Linked DNA regions of Oreochromis niloticus. The protein of the gene in region 2 interacts with the protein of the main gene of each other region in a pairwise test. Links are inferred from orthologs where the notes say so. Each region holds a gene or a part of one and is shown on either strand. Other genes may lie near its edges. The genes, in order: tsnax and gadd45ga.

Region 1 (16,078 bases), on a different chromosome or scaffold from region 2:
GATAATTACCTAATAACTCTACGTACAAACATAGAAAAGCATTTGTGTCTTTAAAAAAAAGACTTATCAGAACCATATCGCAGCATTAATTCTCAAAGTTGTATGGGTTACATGGAAACATTATGTCAACAATTTGCATTTGATTAACTGAACTGATCTGAACAAGCTGGAGCAGAAAAGTTAACAGTTAACCAAGTATTGCAAAAGCAACATAAACTAGCATATTAAGGAAAACGAGAAATAATTTGAAAAAATTAGATGAGATGAATTATCAATTCATTATCAAAAAAATCTTTTTTAAAGAAAAATAAATTCTTATCTAATCACTGTAACTGTTAACAGTTACAACAAAGTAGCCAGTGGTAAAAAAACAAAAAACAAAAACAAAAAACAAACATTTTTATTCTTTGGCTCTTAACCCAGAGTGAGAGCTTAGGTATTTAGGCTGTTATATTATTGCTTGTATTTTTTGTAATTCCTTGAATGTGCTTGTTGATGTGTGTGTGTGTGTGTGTGTGTGTGTGTGTGTGTGTGTGTGTGTGTGTGTGTGGAGCATGTCTTACTTTAATTCTGTAACTCTTTGTTTCATGTTAGTCATCTTTGTTGTTTTTATGAATAAATTTGGATTGAAAACATTTTTTTCCTTTTTTTGCTAACAGTATAGTTAGCAGTGAAACATTGTTACTTAAAATTGTGCATTAACAGTTGAAGTGAAACTGAGTAGTTTGTAAGTGTAGTTGCAACTTTAAGTTGAGGATTAACTAGTAATAGTTACAAACAGATGGTAAACTGAAACTTGTTTACCTGGAGTACATAATTTTATAGTACTGTTAAAGAGTCTTTAGCCACTTCTCATTTCTTTAAATTGTTTTTCTCCAGGCTTTCTAAAGGTCTTTTTTCCTTTTTTTTTCCTTTGCCCATTGGCTACTTTTTCACTTATATACATAACATAATTTTCTTTAGGGATTAATAAAGTATTCTGATTCTGATTTTCAGTCCAGTGCTTTGACCTGACCATTTTCAGAGGAATGTTTTTGGATTGTTAAGCCACTTAATGCTGACATATGAAATTCGAAAATAAATAAAAGCACCTAACTCAATTTTTCCATGCAAGATATAAAGAAATGAGGGGTGGCTAAAGGCTTTTGCAAAATACTGTATTTTATTTTATGCTTACGTCCTCCCAGTGTTTATTTGGCAATTGTTTTCGACTCTTTAAACAAAAAAATGCTTACCAGCTAAACACTGCCAGTGGATCCACTTTCACAGAGGGAACACCACAGTCCAAGGCAGTTTAAATAAGGCTTTGAGGCAGGCAGGCAGAGCCCAGTTCCTGCACTTACTGTCAGGAGTTGTTTATGTCTATACTGAAGCAGAAGTTACCTTTGGTCAACGAGGCTCGCAGAAACCTTACAGAACATCGTGTCTAAACAGTGACTAAGAGCTACAAAAGTGGAAATTTGAGAGATTTTACTGGCATGGTGGTAGGAAAAGTTGAGAGGCGAGGGTGCGAATATAGCTTGGCAGGATCAGATCTTGAGTAATGCGCAAACAGTACCGTTGCGGTTTGGCGCACATTCATGTACTGAGAATACTGAGGATTTTTGGACTGAGCTAATGTTTGACCACAGAGCGGTTCACTGAATTGCAGGTGAGCCACGTGAAAAGTTCCACATGATAATGTATGTTTGCACTGACTCATAGCAGCTAGCAGGGTAAAAAAAAAATAACAACAACAACAACAAAAAAGCTTACCCAAATGCCACGCTGCTCTGTTATCAGTGGCAATTATGGTCAGATTTAGCCCACAATATCTTTGATGGTCATTATATAAAAAAAACAGACCCATTACACATGCCTGGAGACTTCTCCTCCAGCCAAGATTATCTGGAGGGCCCGTGCATCGAGCCCAGCCTCAATCTAATAAAGACGATGAAAATGGGGAAAAAAATAAAAGGGCTAATTGGTGGGAACTGGCATTGGTCACGTCGCGAAGGATGCAGCAGTGATTCCTGTGTGACCGCAATCTAAAAATGACTTCCCCAGCTGCTAGATAACAGCTCCCACTGCCAGTCATGTTTTTCTCCTTCCCTGCAGACATTATGGCTACAGTAACAAAAAGTGGTGCTTATGCTAGTTTGAAAACAACTTTATCAGAAGGCGTGACCATCACATCCAGGCCTGCATCAAGGTCATGCTTTAACACTGTCACTGACTTTTATTGAAGATGAAAGAAAATCATTTAAGTACAAACCATAAAAAAGAAATTATTAATTACATCAACAGATAAAAAAATATATATTATAGTTTCATATCTCACCTTAACTCTAGATTTCTTTGTCTACTTCTTATTTTGGGTGATTGACACTATCGTCACTCTAAGGCAGTTGAGTGAACCAATCAGAAGTAAAGACTTTCTATCAGAGCTGCATTATACAACGCAAGCTAGTTGTGCTAACTTTCTGTACTTAATGGGTTTGAATGACCTTTTAGGACCTTCCACCCTATTATTATATTAAACGTATATTTATTAGAACCCTTACTGTACTTCATGAAGATTAAAACAGCAAAATAATACTTACTGCTTAATAATAAGAAGGAGATTCAATGAATGTGAGCTATAATTTTTGCAAACACCTCTAGTGGAATTTACATCAGATATGACCTAAGTGAGTCACACACAAAGGGCCACGTGCCTTGTATCCCATGGCACCGTAATCTAATAAATCCACTTGGGTGTGGCAGGAGACTTTAAACAGCCCATTAACCATTTTAGAGTGAAAAAACACCACTTTCAAAGAATTCAGTTTCTTTCAGAATAAATATGTGCTTTATATATAAACGAAAAGAAGTAAATGACCACTCACCTGGTGTGAAGGCTCTGTGAAACTGATAAATATCCTCTCCTCTCAGCTCCTCAGCAATCTGCCCAATCTTCTGCCTGACTCCATCCAGCTTTATGTCTGCCTCGTTCAGGATATCCACTGCATCTGGTACACTTTACACACAGAAAAAAAATGTTAAAAGGTACAAAATACATATAACTACTTATTTTGTTTCAGACTTACTTTGTTGCATGACCACTAAAACTAATGCCAATGTATTTATTGTTTTTACTTATCCCTTTTAAAGATCATTTACCATTTTAAGATTATTTTCCCCCTGTGAGGCTCATTAAAGTCCTATTACATTTTTAGCTGATGCTGTTCTGAGATCTTCATTGACAATGAATTATATGTTTTGTCAAGATATTTTCATATTATTCCAAAGCATATATTCAAACATTACAACACTCCTAACACAATATCTGTACTGAATAGAGACAATGTAAATGATAGGTAGGTTATTTTCAAAGCTGCCGTTTACATCAATTACATAAAAAAGACACTCTGTAGTATCCAGACACCAACTAAAATCAGAAGCAGGCCCCATTGAAAAAAAATGATATACAGTTATGTCTGAAGGGTTTAGAACAATGAGAAAATCAATATGTGCGTTCAGCGTTAATTCAAGGGGATTAACCCAAATTTTGCATTAAATGTTAGTAACTACAGATACTTCTGTCCTGAGCCGCCCCTCATTTCTTCATATTTTGCATCGTCATTTTTTTTAAACTGGTCTTGAGCAATAGTTTTCCAGGCTACTGAATGTTTCTCTTTTGACATTGGCTGCTGTGCATATCATTTACTGCGTGGCTCATCAGAAATGGCCACGGCGGAAGGGTGACTGTCAATAATCATCCACTTTAGTTGTCTTCTGTGGACTAGTTAGTATGTTTTGTCTTTAATAATGTATCAGATTGTTGATCTGGCTTTATCTTTGACAGGTTTATTTTGTTTTCTTTTTTAGCCTAATGATGCCTAATGATCTTTTTTGGCCTTGGTGTTTAAAATTAAAGTGAAAAACTATAAAATCCTAATTTCAACATGTTGAATGAACTTCAGATATCATGTCTGCTGTATTTATCATGAAATAATCTAGGAAGAGGCCTCACCTGAACTGCCTCAGTCAACAGTACAATTACTGGGCCTCTGAGAATGGGGGACTGTGGATAAAAGTGGCTGTAATTCCTACACAGTTAATGCAATATTTTTGTTAAACCCCTTGAATTTAAGCTGAAAGTCTGACCTTTAATCACATCTTGATTGTTTGTTTTAAAAATCCACTGTGCTGGTGCACAGAGGCAAAAGTACAAAAAAAGTACTCATCCCAAAGACTTATAGACTTAACAGTACTCATTTATGCGGTGAATATTGTTGTTAAGAACACCTACGTGGTCACTCTGTGCAGAAGAAATATGGTTCTCTTGCTTTCAATTGTGACGTCGCGACTAATCTTAACAAGACGCTCATATTTGTCATGTTTGGTGTCGAGCTCCTGTTGGAAACCTTGAAATACACAGAGAAATGTTTCAGTGCAGGCAATATAACATTGAAACCATTTGGGTGCAAAGTGCAGTGAGAATACTGCTGTTACCTTTGAAGGCAGCCATGACAGACGAGGGGTTGGCACTCATTTCGTGCTCCTGTGCTGCATCTGCATTTCTCCGTGAACACCCCTCACCTGACAGTAGAGATGATGTCATAGTCTTTAAATAATAACTGCCTCTGACTTTTTGGTAAATTGAAAAAACATACAATAAATCTAACTCCCAGAATTCCACAATGACAAATGAAATGCAGTAAAAAAAAAAATAAATAAATAAAAATAATAGAGAACCCTCTTTAAAATGTGGTTGGAATATTCAAGTGACCCAAAATATAACCTGCAACAGCTGACATGATCTGTTGATATCTTAAGAAGAGAATGCCTAAATTCACCTTTTTACTTATAATTATTAAGCGCCTGCTTGGATTGATGGCCAGTAGGGATGAGAAAAAATATGGACACAGCATAATATCGTGAATTTGTATCGCTACAGGGACACCAAATATCAATATTTTATTAAATAAATTAAAATACTTAAGGAATACTAAAAATGAGACGGCTCATCTCATGCACCACTTTGAAGAAACATCAAACACTGGACACACTTGGCTTGACAGTCACACAAATAAAATAGGACAGTAAATTTCTTGTATGTACAAAAAAAATGACAACAACAGTGGCTGCCTGGTGAGATTTTTCCCATTCAGCAGCCAATGGCAACTTGTAGTGACCAAATGGCTGCTCAGAGTTTGAGTGCGTGAGTGTACAGATTGCATGTAATTGCCAACTTGACCCCATTCAATCGGAGACTGATAGAAACATTTATGGCAGATTTTAGTGACAGTGTTGGCACGCATTATAATCTCGCTTTTGCAGCAAAAAAATATTGAAAGTGAGTTAACTTTATTTAAAATGATGCATACACTGCAGTTGAAAAAGACAAATGTGATACTTAGCGTAATGCAAAACGTTAAAAAAAAATCACAATACTATTGTATCGTAGGTGACGTATTATGATGATATTCTCTTGTGGGGTTTCTCGTGATTCCCACTTCTAATGGCCAGACAAATAAAGCACTAGTATGTGCTTTAGATATTTTAATGGAACAGGATTAGCACTTTATTACTTCTGTTACTACCATGAAATGATTTCATTAACCTGACTTAGGCAGAGTAGGTAGGTTAAAACGCTATCACATGTTAGTCCTACTGTTATTTTAGCCTCGCTAGTTAATTACAAAACTCATGAAACTAGAAGGAAGAAATCTTGGACTTACCTTCTCGTTTATTCATAGCTTCGGTGTTGTAGTGCACAGTTTTTAGGGGTGTATTTTAACCACTAACGCCAGTGCCAGTCAAACGTAAAGGTTGAGCATTATTACAAACAAAGAACAAAATAGTTCCGCTTTACGCAGAAAAAATAATGTTCTCTGGACGATGGAAAACAAAATTAGTAGAGCCTGCATATATTTTAACGCGAATAAAACGGTGTTTTCTTGGTTTTAATAACAGGCATTGGTGCGGACCTCAGTCCATCGCGGGGCTTTTGCGCTGTTTACACGCGTAGCAGGAAATTCAAAGAGATGCATCACGGGATACGTAGTTAAATGGCAAAATCAGGAGTTAGTTTTATTACAATGTTTTCCTTATTACTAATTTTTAAATAATTAAATAATTTTTAAATAATTAGAATCTGATTTTAGAAAGTAGCGAAAATATCTGGCGTAATTATATAACAATTGCATTTATAATAATAACACAATTTCTTAAAAACAATACAAACATATAATAGCTACATTTATAATAATTACATAATAATCGCTTTTTATGACGTTATAAACGTTATAACTATTAGGTAAGTTCTTGAAGATGCCATGTATACTAATTAGATATTCCCATACCAAATTTAAAAAGAAAGGTGTGCCACACAGAACTTTCTCTTTCCAGTCAAAATTCAAACGTAGAAATTCTCCAGACTATCAACCTAAAATAACAGGTATCTTAGATATTCCATCGAATATCTAAATCAACGTTTAGCAGATTACTTGTCTTTTCAACAAAAAGTTCCACCCTGACTTCTTCCACAGATGAGTGAAATGTCTTTACTGGATGCCCTGCAGATGTGATTTGTGATTGTTTTCTGTTAACCATCTGTGCATCTTTTTGAATCTTGGCCACTGCTGTGTGATGCTTACTGCATACGTTTGTTTTCATTCATTTTTCATGATTATTTTCACGTCTCAATTTAAAATTTGGTGTCTCCCTGTGGTCATCTAACATCACCGAGAAGTTGTTTTTTCACTTGTGATACTTCTTTCATCTTTTTACAACCACTCTCTTGGGATAAATGTACATATCATCACGTTTGGGTTTACTATCTAATTTTGAGTGACAATTGGGGTATTTATTTATTTTATTTATTTATATTTTCTATGTGTCATTGTTGTAACTTTGTATCTCTTTAAGTTCACTTTGTGTCTCATTTTAGTCATTTTACATCTTCGTATTGACATTTGGTCTCTTTACTACCGTTTTACATCTCTTTGGTGTGTCATTGTGGATGATTGTTTTGTGTATATTATATTTGTGGAATGAGACCAGGACCCAGATGAAAAAAACAAAACAATGTAACTTATCGTTGTGATGAATGACAGGTGTTTGTCATAGAATATTTATATGAGTATCTCCATGCTTCATAAAATTTAAAATGTTATCCATTATGGCTTCCAGTAAGTGATTTAAGTCACCGGTCTGTCACAATCCTAAGTTTCATAAACTGCACACCACCCAACTTATCTGTCTATCATAACAGCAGCAAGCTCTTTAACTTTTTGTTTGTGCGAAAGGAATTTCACCTATGCGAGCCAGGAATGAGAGCACAACACATTGCTGCTGACTGGAGATGCCTTCAGGTGCTCCCTTCAAGCTCCTACAAACTGATTTGTGCCAAAAACTGGTTTCCGATTCTTCTGTTTTTATTATGTCTTTTTTCTCATAAATAGACTATAGTCAACAGGAGTCACGAAGGGGTTATATATAAAACGAAGAAACGACTTGTTCTGCAAAAAATCTTTATGACTCCATCTTATTGCATCAACATCATGATTATAATCCAGTCCCTTTTGGCCAATTAAAATATCTTTATAGAAGTGTGATGTTAGTTCTTGACATTTTAATTTTAACGACATATTTGACTTGCTTAACATCACAAGGTGACAGGGCTCAAAACGATTTGCTATCATTCATGAGTGGTATGTTTAGCAGATTATTAGTCATTTGCAGCAACGTAAATACCTCCAATTATGTTTTTATTTTTATTATTATTTTTTTGGCACATAACAGAAATCACTTTTTGGCACGACACAGGTTTTTAGATGCTTCTTTTGCTTAATATAGAATAATTACAACAGCACAACCACACTCAGGTAGACAAATGCTCATCAGAATCTGGTTTCTTACTTTATGATTTAGGCTATATGATACTATTGCTTCGATAGGAAATGCGCACAAAACGAGTCAGTGATGCTTGAAGCAACACTTGCCATATGGCTATATCTCTTTTGCTTGTCCTTTCCACAAATCTGTAAGCGGTTTGCGTCAAATTTAAATGACAGCGCTACCTTTAATTTGCCATTACACAGTATTGCAGTGTTACAGTATTGGGGAAAGTAATAAAGAAAGCAACATTGGATTTATAACCTATTATACTGGATTGTGTACTCAAAGTATAAAAGTGCATTTATGTCCTTTCAGTCTGTTGCACATTTTGCATGTCGGATTTTTATTTATACCTATTACTGCATGGTTGGTGGAGCTAATTTTCTGCACTGTTAGAGAACATGAATATATTGCATAACTGAAACAGATAGGGTAACATATTTACATCACTTTTTACTGACTGACCAGAGGCGCATGCTCCCTTTATACCCCCGACAAGACTTGAACATGAACTTCCACGTGTCGCGAGCACGCCACTTTTTCACCGCCAACTGTCTGTCCGACCGCACCTGAAGGCAGCACGAGAGAGGCGGTGCCTTTGTGCTGACGTCAGAGCGGGCCGGTCCTCGGGCAGGGCTGGCTGAGCACACTCTGAGCGGCGCCATCCATTACCCCGGGAAGTAGAGCTAGCTTGCAGAAATGCCTCCCAAAGACCTCGACCCACCCCTAAATGCTGGTCCGTGGGCGCACGTTGTCGTGTTATTCCACTGACACACGAGGCAGAAAAGGACATGAGTGCGATAAAATGGCTGGGTTTTGAGTGTTTGGTTCCCCTGGGTATCAGCGTGGCAGCGGCGGCGGGTCGTTTCCAAAGTTGTCGATTAGCAAGGCGCGTGAAGGATCGGTATTAAAGGAGCAGTACGCCTCCTGTATCCTCAAAACATGGAGAAGCCGCAGAGCGAGCTGGACCGAGACCGACAGTACTGTGAACTTTGCGGGAGGTTTGATAACCTTCTTAAGTGCGGTAGATGCCGCAGCTCCTTCTACTGCAGCAAGGAGCACCAGAAGCAGGACTGGAAGAAACACAAGCTCATTTGTAAGGAGGCGGACAAGCCGCAGCTGCCTGCACAGAAGCCCGAGCAGGCACCGCAGCCTGGGGACGACGAGACGCCTGAGAAATGTCGAGAAGAGCAAAGCCCCGAGGAAGCGGACAGTGCAAACACAAGTACAAACACAAAAGCACTGAGAATTGAAGTGAGAGCTGAACATAATAGGTCTGACAGCACTGCCACACCTAACGGACAGAGCAGCTTATCCCCGCAGAAACTTGCCTTGGAGTGCATAGTGCCGTGCATGAATAAGCACGGCATCTGTGTGGTGGACGACTTTTTAGGAGCAGAGATCGGGCTGGGCATTCTTGAAAATGTCAAGGCCCTGTACGAAACTGGCAAGTTCACGGACGGTCAACTGGTGAGTCAAAAGAGCGACTCCACTAAAGACATCCGAGGTGATAAAATCACGTGGATCGATGGCAAGGAGCCCCACTGCGAGAGGATCCAATTTCTAATGAATCGCATGGACGACCTGATTAGACATTGTAATGGCAAACTGGGAAACTATACGATAAATGGAAGAACAAAGGTAAGTACGAAGCACACGCGCACACTGCGCATCTACTGCATTCATCCCCCAGGAGCCAGAGGCTTGCTGGTGTGACACCTGCCACACACACTACAAGGTCAGGAAAGCAGCAGTACTCTGGCTGCGTGGGGATGAAATCAAAAGTACCACAGATTTCTAACAGGGATGCATCATTCTGCAGAAGCTTTTTTTCCTCCCACTTTGTCGTTAAGGTGCTATTAGGTGTAATAGATCAGCCCTGTTTGCTAATTAGATTCGACTTTGCGGGTTAGAGGCTGCCGAGTCCTCTTCTGGCTTTGCTCTGAGTCAGAAAGGTGATTGCTGGTGCTGCTCACATGTTAATGGTTTTGTTTTGGACGCATGAAGAGTGTGCACAGACAGCGCACGTGTTCGGTCGCCATGGCAATAGAAAGACACCCTCAAATCATTGCTTTAAATAAACGCAATACCTCAACCAATAAGAAAGACTAAATTTGGATAGATCACGTGTCTGCAGCATCTTTGAATCAAATGAAATCCAGCTGAAATCTAATGAAAGCAAAGCACGAGGCACATTGTTGTCTCGTGGCTTTTTCTAGCAAGCAGCTGCAAGCATATGCCATGCTGGACTGTTTATTCTAGCCTAAAATGATTTAAAAAAAAAAAAAAAAAGTATATTAGATGTGTAAATACTTGAGCTTTCTGATGCCTACAGAATATATTCCTTAATCCATATTATCCATAGATTACTGCTCAAATCCAGTCCTCACTTCTACAGGTTGCACTCAGTTTCTTAGTTATTATGCAAAGTAAATGCACCTAAGACAAAAACTGCTAAAATCCTCCCTCCATTAAGTGTGTATTGTTCATATTTTGAATGACTATTGGTTTTTAGATGTGTTTCGTAGCTGTTTAATTATGTTTGGTGCTCTATTTAAAATAAACGTGATGGGGAAAGAATCAGATATAGAAAGCACAGTCTCCAAATCAGGGATCAGATTTCGCTGAAAGCACCTTAGTAAGCAGTGAATAGCGGAGCTATTATGTTGTGACAGACTGCGTTAGTTTCAGGAAGGTCATTCTGACCAGTGAGACGACTAACACAGCTAACACATGCTGCCACATCCACAAACAGCAAAGACAGTCCAGCTCATCAGAGTGTATATATTGCATTCATATGTTTGTACTTTAGCTTTTGTTTTTGGTAAAATGTGAGTGATGTGAAGAAGCTGCAACCATGTGGCAGAAACCAGCCCGAGGCCCCATTCTACTGAGAATTTACTGCGGCTCACTATGACCTCTGACATCGCTTTAGTGGTGACAGGTTGTGGTGATAAGTTCAGTGTCACGCACAGACGTATTTGGTTAGGCAGCATTCCCATACTGAGAAGAAAACCTGTGTGTTTCTGGGGGAAGAGGAAGCTGTGGGTAGCTTCTGTTTCACTAAAATGTGTTTTCTAAGAACTTGTTTTTAATTGTCGGATGTTCTCGTTTTTTCAGGCTGAGCTGCTAGGGTTCAGAAGCTCTCCTGGCACCTGGTTTGTTTTTTCCTAACTGTTAGTGCTGTCTAGTGGATAAAGATGGTTGCGTGTGACCTGCGACTCTTGACAGATCTGGTCACCATGGCCTTATAGCATGAGACTGCTTCAGGAGAGGACGAGGTGCTTTCCGGCTTTCTCCTCTTCCTCCTCTTCTCCTGAGGGAAATTCTCTGAAAGCTATAGTCACTATTAACTAGAAGTTTAGCAACATCACTTTGAATCTGGCTAGAAGCAAAAAACACTAAAGCAACGGGCCTTTTATTATAATATTAGAGAAATAAACCAACTTTGTAGTCACACAGTTGATGGAGTGGATGGAGCCATCACAAATATCTGCTCTCTTGGTTGAGAATAAATAAAAGCTGCTGGACTGTGAACATTTTTTTAATGATTTTAGTTAATATTATAATCTTGATTGTTTAATATAATTATTTATTAACCTAAACATCAAGCTGTTTGAGATTAAATCAGTTTTTCAGAGCGATTTCTTTAGTTTTTAAATCTAATTCAAAATGAAAAATAAATAAATCAGTGAATAAGAGGTGAGTGGGGTGGGGAATACGTGGCCTAGGTTTATGGCTAAACTGACAGGTATTTTTGACCACAAAGTCTTTTTCACAAGGGTTAGGGTTTTCTGCCTACACCACAGGAAGCTTGCTGCTGCTGGTGGAGGCTGTGCCGGCTGTGGGCTCGTACACTTTAGGAGACCTGCACAGAGGCCGTGAAGTGAATAACAAAGAGCTGAAGCTCACAGCTTTACTTTCTCCAGATAAATCACTAACACTTTGAAACTGGTTCAAAGCATTGCAAACCAGCAGGTATTTTTACTGAGATATTGGAGTAGTACATAAACTTAAAGGTCATTTGGGAAAATGTAGGGTTTTTTGTAACGTTTTGTCCAAATCGTGTGTAGATTAAACATGATTTAACTTCAGAGTTAACAAACACCATATAGTGAAATCAGCACATTTTTTAGAATAGTTTAAAAATAAGTAAACATTATGACATTTAATAAGGTCAGATTTCTTGTAGAAGTGTTATTAAAATCTGGTACATTTAAAAAAAAAAAAGGATTAAAAAAAATTTAAGGTCTTATTAACAGTTATTGCATCTAATGGTTTTTTTCTTTATGCCACTTAAAATAATAATTTTTCCATCCAGTTAAAAAATTAAAAACAAATAAATAAATAAAAAGTTAAAAATTCAGATTATATATACATATATGTATATATATATATAAATTTCATCTTAGTAACTTGAAATTTCAGTTTATCATATCAAAAGTTTGAGTTACTAAGTTGAGATAAGTTTGACTTATACATGGCAAAATAAATACAATTTAACAATTAAATGGCAGAAAGCAGCCTTTCGTAGCTCTTTGAGTTTTACCACAATTTCAGTATTTAATATCCTGATCTGTAAACTTATTTTATCTTTTTACTCTTTTGCATATAAAAAACTCCTTTCTGACAAGCTTTAAGCAGTTTTGAGGACTTCTTTGATCTTTGGCCTTGAGATGTGTTTGTCACATCTTTTTAGAGGGAAATAACAGACTATACCAGAACTGGAATTAGCGCTTAAAAATGATACACTAAGAGTAGTCCCTGATCTACTTTTGTTACATCATGTTCTGTTATAACAGCTCTTGACATTTAAAGGATCTAGTGGTGAAACAGCCCACATTCGATTGAAGTCTGTGGCCTTTACTCGCTCCAGGTACTTGTTTTTCTGTGCTGGCACAGCTCTAGTTGCCGTACGCTGTTATTTTTAGGTTGCTTCTCCTGTCCAGTCGGTCCCCCCTCTACTCCCCCCCTCGGCTGTTTCTTAGTAGGCCTAAATGTTTTGGAGAAAGCACATTATTTCAGGTTGTGCTGTTGATCCACGCAGCTGGCCGCTCACTCACACTCTACTGAGAACTTGACTTCCTCGCCTACTGCCCTAGTTGCCTTGGCAAACACACGGCTGGACTGTGACCAGCAAATATCAGCATGACTTGCACAAATGGAAAGGGCGCAAGTATCAATGGCTCAAAGGGATACGACACAATGTAAGCACAATTCGCATTGGGAGAGACAGAGGAAAAAGATTTTGCCCAAATAGTTATTAAATGCCATTGTTTCCATTTCCCCCGTTCACTTGATAACACTGTGGGAAGTTGCAGGCAGCGGGACATGTTTGTTTCTTTGCAGATCCAGCATGTTGAATGCTCTCTGATACCATTTAAACATTATCCGGAAACCTAAAGAAGCTTGTAGCAGCAACATAATTGTCCTGTTACTGACTTATTCCACGCTACCGTTAGTCTGTCTTACATGATAAAAGAATAGCCAGCTAAGCTAAGGCTCCATAATAAAACACCCTTACTGCTACTTTTCAAAGCTGACATTATTAAAGTTATGCCGTTCACATGAAACATGATAGCCGTGTTAAGCATGCTGAAATATGACTCAGTACTGAATTTAAACACTGTATATACTGTAATGAGGTCCCACAGCGGCTCAAGTTTTCAAATATAATGCAGCCCAATACACACGAGGGAGATGTAGCTCCTGATTTGTTTGTTTTTTTGGTCCTTTTTTTTCATGTGATAGTCAGGGCGCTGCAAAGCTACACATATCTGGATTCCAGCTGCATTACTGTCTCAAACATGACTCTTTATTGTGAAAAACAACGGGTCAGCTGTGGAAAAAAACATCCCCCTGTAACATAACTGTAGGCAAGCCCTAGAGACAACAACAAACAAACAGTTTTCTGGGCTTGCTTTCTTTTAGTGCTTCCTTGTGTATGCGATAATTTTAAAAGTTGTTTCAGCAAGGAATACATCCCATAGATATAATTTAATTGTGTGCATTTGCAGGTTTTGTTAGTTTTAGTTGTCTGTAAATGCATTGTAGTTTGGTAATAGACTGTTAGATTAAAGATAAACATTTAAATATGTTGTGTTTGCTTTTTATATTGTCTTTGGGCACTAATTGATTCATCAAGAACACATTTGTAAATTGTCAAGAAAAGGACGACTTTTAAGGAAGTTTAATTGTAAAGCTGTTACTGATGTAGGCTGTGAGCATGTAATACGGTATGCGGTATTGCAATTTTCCGTTGTTTTTTCAAAATCTTTTTCTCATGCTATGAAAGCATCTACTCGGTTCATTCATTTCAAAGCTGTTCAACTGAAACAGGACAGAACTGGACAGACCCCTTCCCTATCAACAGAGTTTGACAACAGTGTTTTGACGTTGTTGGCAGTTATTTGCTTTTGTCATTTGTTCTGTCACAGAGCGACGTGTGGACATGTGCTTTCAGAAGGAAGTTGACCGTTGACCTAAATCTTAAAGCTCTACAGAGCGAGTAGACAAGAGGAAGTCATGTGACAGTGGTCCTCTGAGCGCTGGGGCCAGCTATACGTTATGCTATAGGCTCCATGAGGTGCTCATTCCGTCGGCCTACAGTACCAGCTTCACTTAAGTGCAGCACCTTTCATGCCTGGTTTTATCCTGCTTATTGTTTAACCATCTCACTGTTGACCAGAAATAGTCCAGGAATTAGTCAGCGCTCAGGCTCACCCATCGTGGTCACGTATCCCCTCTCAAAGCCTGTAATCCATCTGTGGATTTCTTCAAATGCTCATGATACCATTCTTTTAATTAAAACCATAGCGTGGTCTAAGCCACGTAGACTGATTTCTAAATCAGTGTGACATACCAGAGAGAGGGATGAATGCATCTAATTTAATCCAGCATTCGTTACAGTGTTGTTTTCTTGAATAAGTGCTCATTGGTTAAAATGAGGCTGTTAAAATCTACATTTTATTAAAGCTTTAAGCGCACATCCATCCCTCTGTTTCCTATCACAGCTGTCTAAGAGCAACACCTGGCCGTGATCCAGGTGGAGCCCTGAGAAAGAGCTCTTTGTTTTTTACTACTTGCAACCGTGGGCTTGAAGACAGGAAGGATTTATGGTGGGTGGAGCGTGATAGTAATGGTGGTTTTAAAAAAACAAATTAAAGCATAATTGGAATTTTTTTAAAATAGAAAACACAGCCTCAGGGGATCACAAGCTAATGTATTTCAAGCCCTGATAAACAGGATGGTTGTGTTCAGGAAGGGCAATGTCAGTGCCATATCAAACATGAACATCCATCCACTGTGGTGACCCACAGTGGAGCAGATGAACATATTTTTGCAAATTAGATACTTTAATAATTATAATTGCCTCTTTGCAACAGTAAATGAAGGCTTCAGCTGTCATTTAAGTCATGTTTAATATAGCTGTAGATTTCACTTTCTGTATTATTACTTTGAAAGCCAATTTGTTAACTCATATCTTGACATGTTCAACTGTAACATATCAACATGCTACATCACCCAGTTTCAGAATGAGTTCACATGGCTCTCACACAGTTGGTGGAGTGGATGGAACCATCAGAGGTCAGATAAAAAATATCTGCTCTGTTGGTTTTCATTGAATATGAGTCAAGGCTCTTGAACTCTGTGAAAAATCCAGATTTTAGTCAATATGGTAATTGTGATTATTTAATATAATTATTTATTAACTTAAACATCAAGCTGTTATTGAGATTAAATCTTTTTTCTGGGGGATTTCCTTAATAAGCCGGTCGTGTACCTCTCGATTTTTGTAACCTGTCGCATTTTGCTGCCCCAGCTGGGTTGAAGACTCAAGTGTTCAATCATGTCAGTTTTTATCACCATTTTAAGGATATTTCGGTACAGAGGATTAGAGGTTCACTGATTGTACGTGTTCCTATATCAGCTCTGATGTGATAGTATTGTCTGAGTGGAAACACCTTTCGTTCAGGAGAAGACAGCAGCAACTGCCTGCGCCTTGACGACAAGCATAAATAGACGTGGCTTTAAAAGCCGTTAACAGCGGTGCACGAAGCGATCAACATGTTGGGTACACTGGGGCCTTTAGGAGACTTGCACGGCAACCATGGGTGAACAACAAGGCGCTGAAGCTGACAGTTTTTACTTTCTCTAGATAAATCTCGTTGACCGAAGGCTCTCTTTTAGTCCTCGTGGCTGGAGCTGCACT
Region 2 (15,099 bases):
AGTGAGCGGCTGCATCATCACTCTCCTAATAACCCTGAACCGTAATCGAGTTACAGCACAGCCAAAGCAAACAAGGCTGCCATTAGGGATTCTCCTCTGCCCTTTCCTTTACTTCTTGGTCTTCTGTCCGTGTCCTCTGTCTTCTGCCATCTTTTCTATTTTTCCCCTTGCAGTCTTGTTCTCTCTGTGTCAGGGCAGGCGGTGTGGCTGGCTCGGCCTCTCTTTTAAGTCCTTTAATTAGCATGTGTGCTAAAAGTAGAGGGGCAGTCTGACAGTCACACTGTTTACTCTGTGCTCCTTCTCACTCGGAAAAAAAAAAAAAAAGCTTTAACCCATTCCCCAGTATGCCTGCACTAAAGCAACATGAACATACTCAAAATAGCAGCACGTCTGTCATTTCAGTTTCCTTTTTTTAATGCTTCCACAGAACTGTGATATAACTAAACAATCAATGCTCAGTGGACTATGTCTTCCCGTGCGCTCGACTTAAACAATCTCCTTGCATGAGAATGTCACACATACACTGTCTGTCCTGAAATATTCAACATCAGCATAATGGAATTTGAAATCTGTCTATGCTATGTATCCATCTGATAGTTTTTATGCACATTTTTTTATTTATCCTTGAGTCAACCCGATCACCCCGTCTGCCCTTTCTGCATGCCAGGACGGAGCAGAAATTCTATCATGGGATGAGCAAATAGCTTGCAACTTCCCCACATTTTATTTGTGTGTCTGAATGTCTGCCTGTATTTTTGCAGACAGCAGTGTTAGCCCATTTCTCCTCCTCCTGGCTGCACTTCTATGGCCATGCCTTCCGGCCCGCTGCTCTACTTGAGGATTGTGGGCTCTGAGAGGGGATTCCTGGCATGGCTCGGAGTACATGTGTTTCTGGAACGATAAGCTCAGCAATGTCAGTAATGTGTCAGCCCCGGTGAGGTTACAGTCTTCTCCCCATATTTAGAAAATTACTTAGCATTGCCCCACCTTAGCTAGACTGGCAGCTAGAGTAAACCAGAAAATATGAAAGGAATTTAGGGAACTTAGGGATAAGAGGAAAAAGTTTGAGTGATAAAGAAGATACATTCTTGAATTCATTAAATTCTGTTTTCTCGAGTGAATAATTAACCTAGAGTCCTTGTTTAATGGCATTTTGTGCTATATTTGGCTCCTTTTGCTTGCTTTCATTTTCTATTCTTCTCTTTTCCTCTTATGTCCCCTGCTTTGTCTGATGAAACCAGATGAGACTATAAGACCGTAAGCTGTTTCAGTTGTCCTGAGATAGCCTTTGTCATTTGTACTTATTGTAGTTTATATAAAGAGGCAAGCCAAAATCCGCAGTCTCATCTGATCAATGGATTTGGCATCATAACGCTTGTTGTATGTTTGGATCTCCTGTATTTGTGTGTTTGGATCTTACATACACTCACCTTAAAGTATTTTCACAAATGTCAAATATTAGTTGTGAAAAAAAAATCACTTCAGGCACAATCACATTAGAAATTTGGCACTTGGATCATGTGATCTAAATTTAACTGCTGAGGTTTGCATGAGGTCACTCGTGTCATGAGTTATATAATATATTTTTTAGGAACCCTGGGAAAACAGGAAAACAAGCAATAAGAGCTAATGTTATAGATATTTCACTCAGAAGTTACAGATTTCATCCAGTCAATCCATTCAGTTGCTACTGAACAAACACCCTGATGCAATCCCAAGGCAATTGCAGACATACCAATTTGAAAACAAACATCCAAACGACTGCATCCTGTACAAATGGTGGGTAGTGGATGGATTCACTTCTAAATTTAAAAAAAAAAGATCTCTGCTCAGCTGATATATTAAAAAAGAGAGAGAAAGGTCTCCTTGGCTTTCACAAGGGGCTTAAGTGTGGTAATTGATACTAACAGTAGTTAAGTTTGTATCATGAGCTCATCTGCAATGACCTGCTGCATATGTGTGTGTGTCACTCTACCCCCCAAAGGGACACAGTGGATCTTTAAAGTGTTGGGCAGGTGTGTGTTTGTGTGGGTGTGCTTCTAACCTGGTCACCCTCCCCTTTGCTTACACACAGCTGTTTTGCCCTGTGTGATTATAGGCTCTGCTGAAAGATAAGTGCGATCATTACCGCTCAACTGAGAGGTTTATGTCATGTGATCTCATCCCTGTCGGTGTGGTGCGGTCATCCCACGAGCTCAGGTGTGAGCATGTGTGCGCTTCGACATTTACAGCTACCCCAGCCTGACTGAAACCTCAAAAACCGCCTGAGTGATATCATACTGACAGACTGATAGTGACTCTTCACAAACAGAAGCCAAAGTGTGTTTACATATTGTTGTTATGGAATCACCTTGGCCACCACAGCAATGTGAAATTCCCAGCGCCGTCAATCTAAGGCCTTCTAAAAGTTGCATGTTGTGCCGGTTCATCACATAGCTTCTGTGGAATGAGCTCATGGTGAGAAACAGTGAACTGCAGAAGTAGATAGGGTGCAGCTCATTTCTCCAGTTAGTGACACACACACCCCATACTTAGATTAGAGACACCCAACACCAGCAGTCAGCCTAGCTATCTCTCTATCTCTCTCCGCAGCCTGCCAGGGCCAGCTGGGCCGTGATCTCATGGTACCATATCTGGGCAAGCGCGAGCAAGAGAGCTGGAGATGGGTGGGGTGAGAGGGGATGCTGCCTGCCGGCTCGTCGCGTAATCTCATCTTGCGGTGGTTACTGTAAGTGGACTGAAGCAGGAATATGAGAGTTAGCCGTGAAAGTAATGGATCTGAGAAGGGCAGAATATTTACAGTTGAACCACAAGCCTGCAAATGTTTGGGGTATCCCAAGATGGCAAAACATGCTGTATCATTTCCCCAGGCAAAAAAAGCAGCATTTAGATATTTTGACATCACAGCACAACACACAGTTCTGCTCTTAGCCAGGCGAAAGCAAGGCATTCCCTATTAGCATCATCACATTTTCACATTTTCAGCTGAACAGTCATGCAGTGGTTAGAACTGTTGCTTCACAGCAACAAGGTTCTGGGGTCAAATCCACCGGCCAGCTTGGGGCCTTTCCGTGTGGAGTTACTTTCTGGGTAATTCAACTTGCACATTAAATTGTCTGTTGACTCTGAATTAGCCTCAGTTGTGAGTGTGAATGGTATTTTGTCTCTATGTGTGATAGACTGGTGACCTGACCAGGATGTACCCAGCCTCTGGCCCCGTGACAGCTGGGATAGGCTCCAGCCCCACTGTGACCCTGAATTGGATAAGCAGAAGAAAATGGATGGATGAACAAAAGGTTATCACATTACCAACCGCCAGGCTTGTTCAAGTGCGTCAGTGTCAACTAAAGGAGATTCATCAGTTTAGGAATTGTTTCTAAGTTGGAAATAGGATCTTTTTTTCACAATTTATCAATCTTAAAGTAATTCTGCTTTCAAATACAGCTCACATTCAAAAACAGTAGCTTTCCATTTTAGCTAATGAACTGTTTTGCTGAGAGCTGGTTAGAAAATCATAAAACTGTTATATACCGCAATTCAATCGGAAGCTTTATCGCATGCATCTAGAGTTTTTGCCATTATGGGGAATGATCCATGCAGCTTTTAAAGTGTCCAGTAAGTCACTGCACTGACCCAGAAAAAAGTCCCGTGCATAGCCCCTTTACAGTGCTTTTTGGACAGATTAAACACACATGTGACATTTTTATTCTACTAACAGTACAAGGTGGAATTTGTAACATTTGGAAAAAGCATTAAAAGTTTCAAGTAGAGAAAATGCCTTTCCTGGCTAAGTGTTGTGCCCTCGTGCAGAATAAATCCAGTGAATAGCCTTACTGGAATTAAAATAATTTAAAAACCAAACTACTACTCAAACTACTCTGTTTACCATTTTCTGTGTCACAGCTGAAAACACTAATATTCCCAAGTCAGACTACATCTGTCTGGTCTCATTGCCTCACTTTCAGTCTATCGTGGCTCTAGATCTCTGGCTCAGACTCTGTGCAGACAGTCGGCTGCCTCAGCAGTCTGGACTGTTGCTCCAGGCTTTTGGCATCCCAGCCAACACAGGGAGAAGATGTTTGTTACTACCGTGCAAATAGCAGCAGGAGAGACAAGAAGTCCTTTCCAGCAGCTAGTTTTTTGTTCTCTTGTAGCACACATTATACCTGTATCCAAAAGTAATGCAGAATAAATACAAGCATATCGCTGTTTTCTAGTCTTGCATAGTGCTTGTATGAGCTGAAGCTCAAGGAATTAGGCCTATATTATGCATAATATAGGCATGTTTATTGCTGTATGTAGGCCTGAGAGATGCATACTTGCATGTTTTAGAGATAACAAAGAAAAATCAGATCTATACCAAAGACCATTGGTCTAACTTCTATCTAAACTAGGTCAAGGATTTAGTTAACAATACTCTAAATGCTTAATTGTGACTGCTGTACGAACACGACACTTTGTTTACTCAGGCCACATAATTTAGTCAACATTTATATTCTTGATAAAATAGGTCTTATCTGGGGCATTAAATATTGCTTTTTGCAAAAACAGGTCAAGATTAGACACAACTGTGTCTGCTGTTGCTGCGCCTTTTCTTTATTTTTATTGCAGAAAACAAAGAAGGCTACTTGAAGAACACTGACCTGTTTGGACAAAAAGCCTTTTGGAAAGGTGTGGAAAATAAAGAAAAAATAATCGAATTATTTCTTCAGGCCTCTGTTATAAATGTTTTACATGTTTCCTCATCTGACCTGTGACTTGGCTGGGACTTTTATAGGTAGGGACAATCATCTCTCACTCAGATATGCTTAGGTTTCATGTTTAATCACAGAATCCAGTGCACACCAACCACAGACAACAAGTGATCACCAACCACATTAGTCTTCATATCGTTGTCCCACAAGCCCGTATAGTCCCAATCTACAAATCTGACAGCACATGCAATAAAATGATTAGTTTTTATCATTTAGCATTCATGGTAATTTTTCCCAAGTCTCCCATATGCCTACTAGTGCAGATATTAAAGCCCATGGAAAGTCCCCCAGATACAAGTCTGCATTCTTTTTTCTTCTTTAATTCTGACTGAGTGAACCTTCCTCTGTTCTGAGAACACTGAGCAATCACCTGACATCTGTCTAACACAGCATCCTTTGGTTGTGTGTGCATGTGTGCTATGCATGATCTTGAGCACAACTTTGTGCAAGAGTGTGCACATGCAGTAGCCTGTTTTGCTTCATGCTTTGTGTGCACCTGTGTGCTCATGCGAGCTCATGCGAGTACACATGCAGAGAATGACCAGCGGTTGGCTGGAGACTGAGGTGCTGCCAAGAAAATCGAAATGAGTTCCTCTGAAGTCTGGTTTCTCTTTGATGTGGGCTACCTTTTACTGTCAGCTTGAGCTCTGAGCTGACCGCAGCACTCACACACTTCCCCATACCTGCCGCTGTTGATCTGCTGACCCTCATTCAGCTGCAGCTCTCATCTCGGTATAATTTTCAATGTGCATGTGGCTGTGTGTGCACGTGGCTGCAGGAATAGGAAGACCTTCCCTATATTTGTTACCAGGTATTATGCATAAGTCCTAAGTTGTTGAAAATTGACTTTTTAAAAATAAAAATCAAGCATGAGAAGAGTGATGTTAAATTAATTTGTAACAACTTTGTTTGAATATACTAAACTACAACTAACTTCACTGTCTACTGACGTATTAGTTAGCCACACACACACAGGCTTCAGTTCCAGCCTAAGTAATTGTGCACTGTGCTATAAGGCAGCTGGTTTATCAGCAGTAAAAGGTCAGTGCCTGCAAAAAAGCCCACGTTTCAATCATCATTACGTTATAACTGTTAGCTTCGCTTTTCTTCTTTTACTCTCTCTCTCTCTCTCTCTCTCTGCCACCCAATCATTTGATCTTTACTTTCCTTCCACCCACATTGTGCGATTAGCTTCTTGTGAAGCAGAGTTGTAACCAGTAGCGCCACACTTTCCTGATACCTCTGCATCATTGCAGTCTGCCATGACGTCCCACATTATGTGGCACCCTGGGTGTTAGTTAATGTCTGTGTAGCTAAATGCAAAGGAGAAAATGAGATTTCTGAGAAGATGAGTTTGATTCCAAATGTTTATTCACAAAGCATTTCAAGTCAGTACAATACAAATCAATACTGCATTGCTCTGTCTGCATGTGAAAGAAAACTGAATAGTCCATTAAAAAAAGTGTCAGCTTTACATCAGGATTTGCAAGCAGTTTCTGCTTATTCCAAGAACTTCCTGACAGCTGCACTCATAAAGAAAAGTCCTTTGTTTAGACACTTTCAGACGCCTTCTTCTGGATCTGCACCTGACTTGTTCCCCCTCTGACGAGTCCAGTCCACTTTCTTAAGTCCATCTCTTGCAAAGTATCGCTCTCTGTGACCTTCTCTGCTTAGTCCCACCAGTGTCTGTTAAAGGGCAGTCACTGGGTCACCATTTGCCATCTTTAATGTACTATGCAGTACAGTCCAGCTCCATTCTCAGTGTCCTTCAGGCGTTCTGTCCACTCCACATACACCTGAACAAGTCCACACATGAGCTCTGAACCCTTGCACAGGGTAATCCAGAACCAACGGGCTCACCCAGGATGCACTGGAAGAGTGTGCTCTTGCAGAAGGGGGGAGTTACAGCCACAGCCTCTTAATCCAGACATGTGAGGCAGAAAGGCATGAGGCCCCCCAGCTGAAGCTCAGCTCCTTGACTTTCTTTTCATCATCATCATCATAATCATGTGAAGCAACTGCAGGGGGGTGTCACTTCAGCGCTCTGGGAGAGTGATGGTGGGCACCCAGTCATACACACTGCGCCTTTCCTCACAGAACACACTCAGCTTGTCCAGAGCAGGGTCTTTCCATGGGTTTGCACTAGGGCTCTGTAATTGTTAAAAAAAAGAGGGAGATATTTAGAGTCAGAAAAGTGGCAACACCTACAAGACATGCAAAAAAAAAAGTCAGACACCGTAGTGATGCATGCATGATTCACTAGCTGCCAGCTCCTGACTGAGTGGGAACGTACCGTGACAAGAATGCAGTGTGCGTCCTTGGGCTCGCCTGTTTCATCTGCACCCACGAGGTCGGCCAGGCGGTCGATATCATTGACACGCACCACGTTGATGTCGTTGTCAAAGCAGAACGCCTGGATGAGAGTGAAGTGGATCTGAAGAGCAATGTCACACTCGTATTCCTCGTCGGTGGCGAGAATGCAGAACGCCACGCTGTCTGGGTCACTGTAGGAAAGACAAGAAAGGTGATTAGTGCATATCCTGCTTTGCGTGTGCTCGACTTTTTTTTTCTTTTCTTTTTTTTAAAGGGCAAATGTAACTGAAAGTGGCACGAAATGCAATACTTACACATTCATGACTTTTGCAGATTCGTAAACTCCAACTGTCAGGTAGTCCTGCTTCTTAGCAGCGATCAGCAGCTCCTCCAGGGCTGCGCCTGCACTTTGCACCCTTAACAAAGAAAAATACATCATCAGCACACTGATCACATTACCCTCCCCAAAAATAACAGCTACAGCGCTTTAATCCAGGAGCTTAAATAACGTTGTATCGATGAGTAAAATATTCACCTATCAGCGTTTTCCATTGTGTTCTCTTGTCCGTGAATCTCTTCCAGAGTCATAGTTATAATCCAAGCGCAATCGGGATGTTGCAGTGTTAAGAAAAGGCTGTGTAGCTGTCTGTGTAGTCTCTTGCGTTATTCTGAGCTCTGAACGGTCTGTGGGTGGCTTTATACCGCACTTGGCGTCGTTTCTCGGCAAGGGGCGGTCTTTCCGAGCCTGTCTCCTACCATTGGCTCAGAGGAGCTTATGGTGAGGAAAGCGAAAAAAAGTCCCCGAGCAGTCGAACTGATCTTGTTGACAGCCCCACGTGGGGCAAGATTACAACCTTTCAAGAAATCCCCCCCACCCACTCCCAATTTCTCCTTTTCTTGTCAACATCCAGCATCACCACTAAGGGCAAAAACTACAAGTCCTGTTTACGATGAACTTTCACAGTCATTGCAAACAACACGGTGATATGAAGTTTTTTTGTTTTGTTTTGTTTTGTTTTGAACCACTGTGGCTTCAGTTTGCCCCTGGACAAGCTGACATGTTTATGATAGTCAGAAAACACATAGGTCACAGCGCAGACATTCTAAGAGATTCTCTTTTATTTATTATTATTATCATCGTTTGCAGAGGCGTTATTTACCATTCGATAGCAACATCCCCGGTTTTTGGAATTATGTAACTATTACGCCTCGTGTTTTTCCACAGTGGGCATAGAAGAATTCAGACTATCCTACAGGTGACAACAGAACTGAGTGTGCGGATTAGCCGAGGGAAAATTGGCGGATCTTTTTTCTGTGGGTGAGCCGCATTAAAACAGTAGTGACGATTAATTTGATGTGTGATAAACTCTGGAACAATCCTTTGGCGGACTAGCGGATTTCCCCAGTCTGGAGAGTCACTGGGGAGATATTTATATATATCATCTATCCGAACTTTCCCTGTGCAGCTTTCCATTGCTCTTAATAAACAACCGGTTCCCGGTGCACCTGCTTGGCGCGTCACTGCGGTCAAGTGAGCCCTCACTTACGAAGTCACAGTCAAGCTAGCCGCCCCGCCAGCCGCACCTAAAATGTGGTTGCACTACTCTTACGTATATTACGGTACGGATGAAGCCCGGCTAAGAAACGCAGTCTTTTGTGTCCTGACACTATATTACTTTACAATCCACTCCCAAATTTGGTTCATCTCCACTTTTCACCCCATGATCCACAGCCAAAATTGCTGTACAATTCAGCGAAAATTAACAATAAAATTTAACCAATATACAGTACTGTACTTTTATAGTATCTTCATTTTTGACCTCAGATTACAGGAAAACTGTAAGAGGTGACGCAGATATTTCACTGGATTCTGACTGTGGGTGACCCCCACTCTTCACCCTGTGATCCACAGACAAATTTACTGTACAGTTTTCCTGAAAAGTGATAGTAAACTTTACCCAAATTACTCTACTGTACTCTATATATTCCCATCTTTCACCTCAGATTACAGGAAAACTGTAAGAGGTGACGCAGATATTTCACTGGATTCTGACTCTAGGCCATCTCCACTCTTCACCCTGTGATCCACAGACAAATTTACTGTACGGTTTTCCTGAAAATTGATAGTAAACTTTGCACTATTTACTGTACTGTACTCTATATATTCCCATCTTTGACCTCAGATTACAGGAAACTGTAAGAGGTGACGCAGATATTTCACTGGATTCTGACTCTAGGTGACCCCCATTCTTCACCCTGTCATCCACAGACAAGTTTACTGTACGGTTTTTGAGAAAATTGATAGTAAACTTTGCACATTTTACTCTACTGTACTCTATATATTCAAATCTTTGACCTCAGATTACAGGAAAAGTATAAGAGGTGACACTGATATCTCACTGGATTCTGACTCTAGGCCATCTCCACTCTTCACCCTGTGATCCACAGCCGAATTTACTGTACGGTTTTCCTGAAAATTGATAGTAAACTTTGCACATTTTACTCTACTGTACTCTATATATTCCCATCTTTCACCTCAGATTACAGGAAAACTGTAAGAGGTGACGCAGATATTTCACTGGATTCTGACTCTAGGCCATCTCCACTCTTCACCCTGTGATCCACAGACAAATTTACTGTACGGTTTTCCTGAAAATTGATAGTAAACTTTGCACTATTTACTGTACTGTACTATATATATTCCCATCTTTGACCTCAGATTACAGGAAAACTGTAAGAGGTGACGCAGATATTTCACTGGATTCTGACTCTAGGTGACCCCCATTCTTCACCCTGTCATCCACAGACAAGTTTACTGTACGGTTTTTGAGAAAATTGATAGTAAACTTTGCACATTTTACTCTACTGTACTCTATATATTCAAATCTTTGACCTCAGATTACAGGAAAAGTATAAGAGGTGACACTGATATCTCACTGGATTCTGACTCTAGGCCATCTCCACTCTTCACCCTGTGATCCACAGCCGAATTTACTGTACGGTTTTCCTGAAAATTGATAGTAAACTTTGCACATTTTACTCTACTGTACTCTATATATTCCCATCTTTCACCTCAGATTACAGGAAAACTGTAAGAGGTGACGCAGATATTTCACTGGATTCTGACTCTAGGTCATCTCCACTCTTCACCCTGTGATCCACAGACAAATTTACTGTACGGTTTTCCTGAAAATTGATAGTAAACTTTGCACTATTTACTGTACTGTACTATATATATTCCCATCTTTGACCTCAGATTACAGGAAAACTGTAAGAGGTGACGCAGATATTTCACTGGATTCTGACTCTAGGTGACCCCCACTCTTCACCCTGTCATCCACAGACAAGTTTACTGTACGGTTTTTGAGAAAAGTGATAGTAAACTTTGCACATTTTACTCTACTGTACTCTATATATTCCCATCTTTGACCTCAGATTACAGGAAAACTGTAAGAGGTGACGCAGATATTTCACTGGATTCTGACTCTAGGTGACCCCCACTCTTCACCCTGTCATCCACAGACAAGTTTACTGTACGGTTTTTGAGAAAATTGATAGTAAACTTTGCACATTTTACTCTACTGTACTCTATATATTCAAATCTTTGACCTCAGATTACAGGAAAAGTATAAGAGGTGACACTGATATCTCACTGGATTCTGACTCTAGGCCATCTCCACTCTTCACCCTGTGATCCACAGCCGAATTTACTGTACGGTTTTCCTGAAAATTGATAGTAAACTTTGCACATTTTACTCTACTGTACTCTATATATTCCCATCTTTCACCTCAGATTACAGGAAAACTGTAAGAGGTGACGCAGATATTTCACTGGATTCTGACTCTAGGCCATCTCCACTCTTCACCCTGTGATCCACAGACAAATTTACTGTACGGTTTTCCTGAAAATTGATAGTAAACTTTGCACTATTTACTGTACTGTACTATATATATTCCCATCTTTGACCTCAGATTACAGGAAACTGTAAGAGGTGACGCAGATATTTCACTGGATTCTGACTCTAGGTGACCCCCATTCTTCACCCTGTCATCCACAGACAAGTTTACTGTACGGTTTTTGAGAAAATTGATAGTAAACTTTGCACATTTTACTCTACTGTACTCTATATATTCAAATCTTTGACCTCAGATTACAGGAAAAGTATAAGAGGTGACACTGATATCTCACTGGATTCTGACTCTAGGCCATCTCCACTCTTCACCCTGTGATCCACAGCCGAATTTACTGTACGGTTTTCCTGAAAATTGATAGTAAACTTTGCACATTTTACTCTACTGTACTCTATATATTCCCATCTTTCACCTCAGATTACAGGAAAACTGTAAGAGGTGACGCAGATATTTCACTGGATTCTGACTCTAGGTCATCTCCACTCTTCACCCTGTGATCCACAGACAAATTTACTGTACGGTTTTCCTGAAAATTGATAGTAAACTTTGCACTATTTACTGTACTGTACTATATATATTCCCATCTTTGACCTCAGATTACAGGAAAACTGTAAGAGGTGACGCAGATATTTCACTGGATTCTGACTCTAGGTGACCCCCACTCTTCACCCTGTCATCCACAGACAAGTTTACTGTACGGTTTTTGAGAAAAGTGATAGTAAACTTTGCACATTTTACTCTACTGTACTCTATATATTCCCATCTTTGACCTCAGATTACAGGAAAACTGTAAGAGGTGACGCAGATATTTCACTGGATTCTGACTCTAGGTGACCCCCACTCTTCACCCTGTCATCCACAGACAAGTTTACTGTACGGTTTTTGAGAAAATTGATAGTAAACTTTGCACATTTTACTCTACTGTACTCTATATATTCAAATCTTTGACCTCAGATTACAGGAAAAGTATAAGAGGTGACACTGATATCTCACTGGATTCTGACTCTAGGCCATCTCCACTCTTCACCCTGTGATCCACAGCCGAATTTACTGTACGGTTTTCCTGAAAATTGATAGTAAACTTTGCACATTTTACTCTACTGTACTCTATATATTCCCATCTTTCACCTCAGATTACAGGAAACTGTAAGAGGTGACGCAGATATTTCACTGGATTCTGACTCTAGGCCATCTCCACTCTTCACCCTGTGATCCACAGACAAATTTACTGTACGGTTTTCCTGAAAATTGATAGTAAACTTTGCACTATTTACTGTACTGTACTATATATATTCCCATCTTTGACCTCAGATTACAGGAAACTGTAAGAGGTGACGCAGATATTTCACTGGATTCTGACTCTAGGTGACCCCCATTCTTCACCCTGTCATCCACAGACAAGTTTACTGTACGGTTTTTGAGAAATTGATAGTAAACTTTGCACATTTTACTCTACTGTACTCTATATATTCAAATCTTTGACCTCAGATTACAGGAAAAGTATAAGAGGTGACACTGATATTTCACTGGATTCTGACTCTAGGCCATGTCCACTCTTCATCCTGTCATCTACAGACAAATTTACTGTACGGTTTTTGAGACTGCTGTGTTAACAGAGTATGACAAAGGCTAAGAAAATGTACTGCCTAAAATAATATCAAATTTAAACAACTAATTACAAAATTGCTACACCTGCTGTTATTGCCAGGTGTTCGATAGAGTATTATTTAGTCATAAAAATACATATCATTGACATATCATCAGTAAAAGAAATACTCTCACTATGCAAGACATGTTTGGAAATTCAGTTAATAAATATTGTATGAAATCTATACAGATGTTTGAAGGTATAATGCAAAGCATGTTTGTTTCTTATGGCTTACAAATGTGTTTTCCTTTAACAAAATTTACATTTCATTTATACAGTTTCGCAGATGAAACAATAAAATAGGTTTCCTGAACTGTTCTTCATGGCCCAAATTTTGAATCCTTTTGAGGGTGATGCATTATCCATGAAGGTGGGCAATTTGTTCATTGATCTCTGACCCTCACTGACTCTGACGCCTCCTAATTCTGCTTCCAGCCTTGCTGATTAATTTGTTCTTCCTTTTGGCATCCCTGTCACTGATGCTGTCACCAGTTGTACACAACATCTCTGCTTGTCCACCAGTCTAATCTGTAATTCAGGTGAACCCAGAATTACCTGTATCTTTGTAATGTTCAAAAATATACACTATATGTTGATGTGCATTGTCCCACCTTTCTTTCCTTTATAAGTAAGAATCTCTATGGTTTTAATGACAATTCATATACAGATTGCGGATGACATTTTATTCAACACTCAAATAAGTTCCTCACCAGCATACTGTAGTACAATTTCAGCCCACCGTTAATAAACCCATCCAATGCAGCGTTATCAGAGAAATTATGCAAGTGTTATGTTTGTATGTACTAGTAATCTATTTATCATTTATCATGACTCCTGCTCTGATGATTATTTTCTTCTCCTTCTGTAATTTTAATAGATAAAGGATGTTGAACATTAAGCTCCAAACAGGATGAATGAGGAAGACCACAGAGGAGAATCGTGGATGTAGTGAAAGAATACATGCAGATGGTTTTTTTTATGGTGGAGGAGCAACTTCTGATACCATCTTAAAGAAAAAACACATAAAATTGAAGAGTAAAAATAATGACAACAATATGTCTAAATTTTGTATTAATTTTTTAGAGCAAATGCAGTCTTGTCATGGTCAGAGTTGCCCACTCATATTTGACTAATTCAAATAAAATTACTGAATTAAATGCTTATGTTCTAATAAAAGGCATTGTTTAATACTTCTGCATGACAACCCAAATAATCAATGAGAGGGAAACGGGAAGATTAGTCATCAGGCAAGGTTTACTGTTCATTTACCATGCCTTGATAAAAGTAGCTTAACAAAAGAAACAGGCTGTGGACGAGAACCGGGCGGCTGAGCCAGATCAAAGACATTACTAAAACAAAAAGATGCCAACAGCTTCCCTAAAGTGGAAATCTAATAATATGCAAAACAAAGGCCTGTGTAGCTGCTTGACACATAAGGTCAGTCACAGGATACAAAAGTGTCATCACCTGCCTAACCTAGTGTTTTTAACACTTAAAGCTCATTTGAATGTGTTTGGGGTACTCCGATCTTATCTGTCCAGCCTCACACCCAAACACTCTATTCACACACACAGACACCTACTAACAAAAGTTCAAAGACAGTCAGAAGCCAACCTGGCCTGGGAGCTGTTTTTTTAAATTATCCCAGGCAAGCGATTGGTCTACTGTTCCCCAGATCAGCCAATAGAGACATGCCAATTACCTTTGCATTGGACAATAGAATGAGGCTTGACACGTGAAAGACAAGAGTAACAGAAAACACAGAGCTGGATGCCATGGCATGCAACAGATCTTGTTCCATGCTCATTTTTGATTGTCTCAGTAAATATGTTAAGTGCACAAACGTTGAAAATCTAACTCACTCACTTGTCCAATAGAAAATAATATTTTCCTCTTTGTTTGTTAATTTTCATGTTACTATAAGTAATAGTAGTCTTAGAGGTATAAAAACAATTTTCAATTCTCATAATTTATATGAAGTCTTTATCACATCTTTTACAATATATTTTAAGCAATATGCTTTTGTCTTTTTCTCTGACACTCATTGTCTTTAACATTAATATTATGAATTACCTATACAATATCTTGCCTTTTGATTGCAGGTTTCATACATTTTTTTGTTTTTTCATACTGTAACTCATAGAAATATTTCTGCCAATACTATTTTGATTATATTTTATACATGACATTAAAAGGTTGTACATTGCCTTAACATTTTTTAGTTTTTGCTTCATTATTAGAATTAAATTATTATTTTTTGTTAATTCAATGCAAACTGATGTGTGGGACAAGAGTCACATGACATATAGCCAACCCACCTTTGATCTTTCGGTATTTATTGAGTCGTTGCATCGTACGGACAGATAACGTAGCTTTCATTGCGACAGGAACGGTTATATGTGGTTACGCTGTCATTACATATACTTATTATTAGTACACTGAACTTTTCTTCGAGGCCTACGTGGACAAAAA

Evidence for each region.
Region 1: the proteins of gadd45ga (region 2) and tsnax interact in binary tests that used the Homo sapiens proteins (3 or more experiments, as listed by UniProt). The two-hybrid records come from large-scale screens. The link is inferred for Oreochromis niloticus from reciprocal best matches to the Homo sapiens genes GADD45G and TSNAX.

The regions. Positions count from the first base shown.
Region 1 is NC_031978.2:23,828,738-23,844,815, reverse strand, and holds the start of tsnax (translin-associated protein X), read right to left. Parts: upstream 5,990-16,078; 5' UTR 5,722-5,989; coding exon 5,706-5,721; intron 4,564-5,705; coding exon 4,477-4,563; intron 4,389-4,476; coding exon 4,274-4,388; intron 2,999-4,273; coding exon 2,868-2,998; intron 1-2,867. Other genes in the region: egln1a (egl nine homolog 1), read left to right, coding at 8,809-9,507.
Region 2 is NC_031977.2:23,398,107-23,413,205, reverse strand, and holds gadd45ga (growth arrest and DNA-damage-inducible, gamma a), read right to left. Parts: upstream 7,764-15,099; 5' UTR 7,656-7,763; coding exon 7,603-7,655; intron 7,484-7,602; coding exon 7,382-7,483; intron 7,259-7,381; coding exon 7,048-7,258; intron 6,905-7,047; coding exon 6,791-6,904; 3' UTR 6,225-6,790; downstream 1-6,224. UniProt on the Homo sapiens protein: Involved in the regulation of growth and apoptosis. Mediates activation of stress-responsive MTK1/MEKK4 MAPKKK.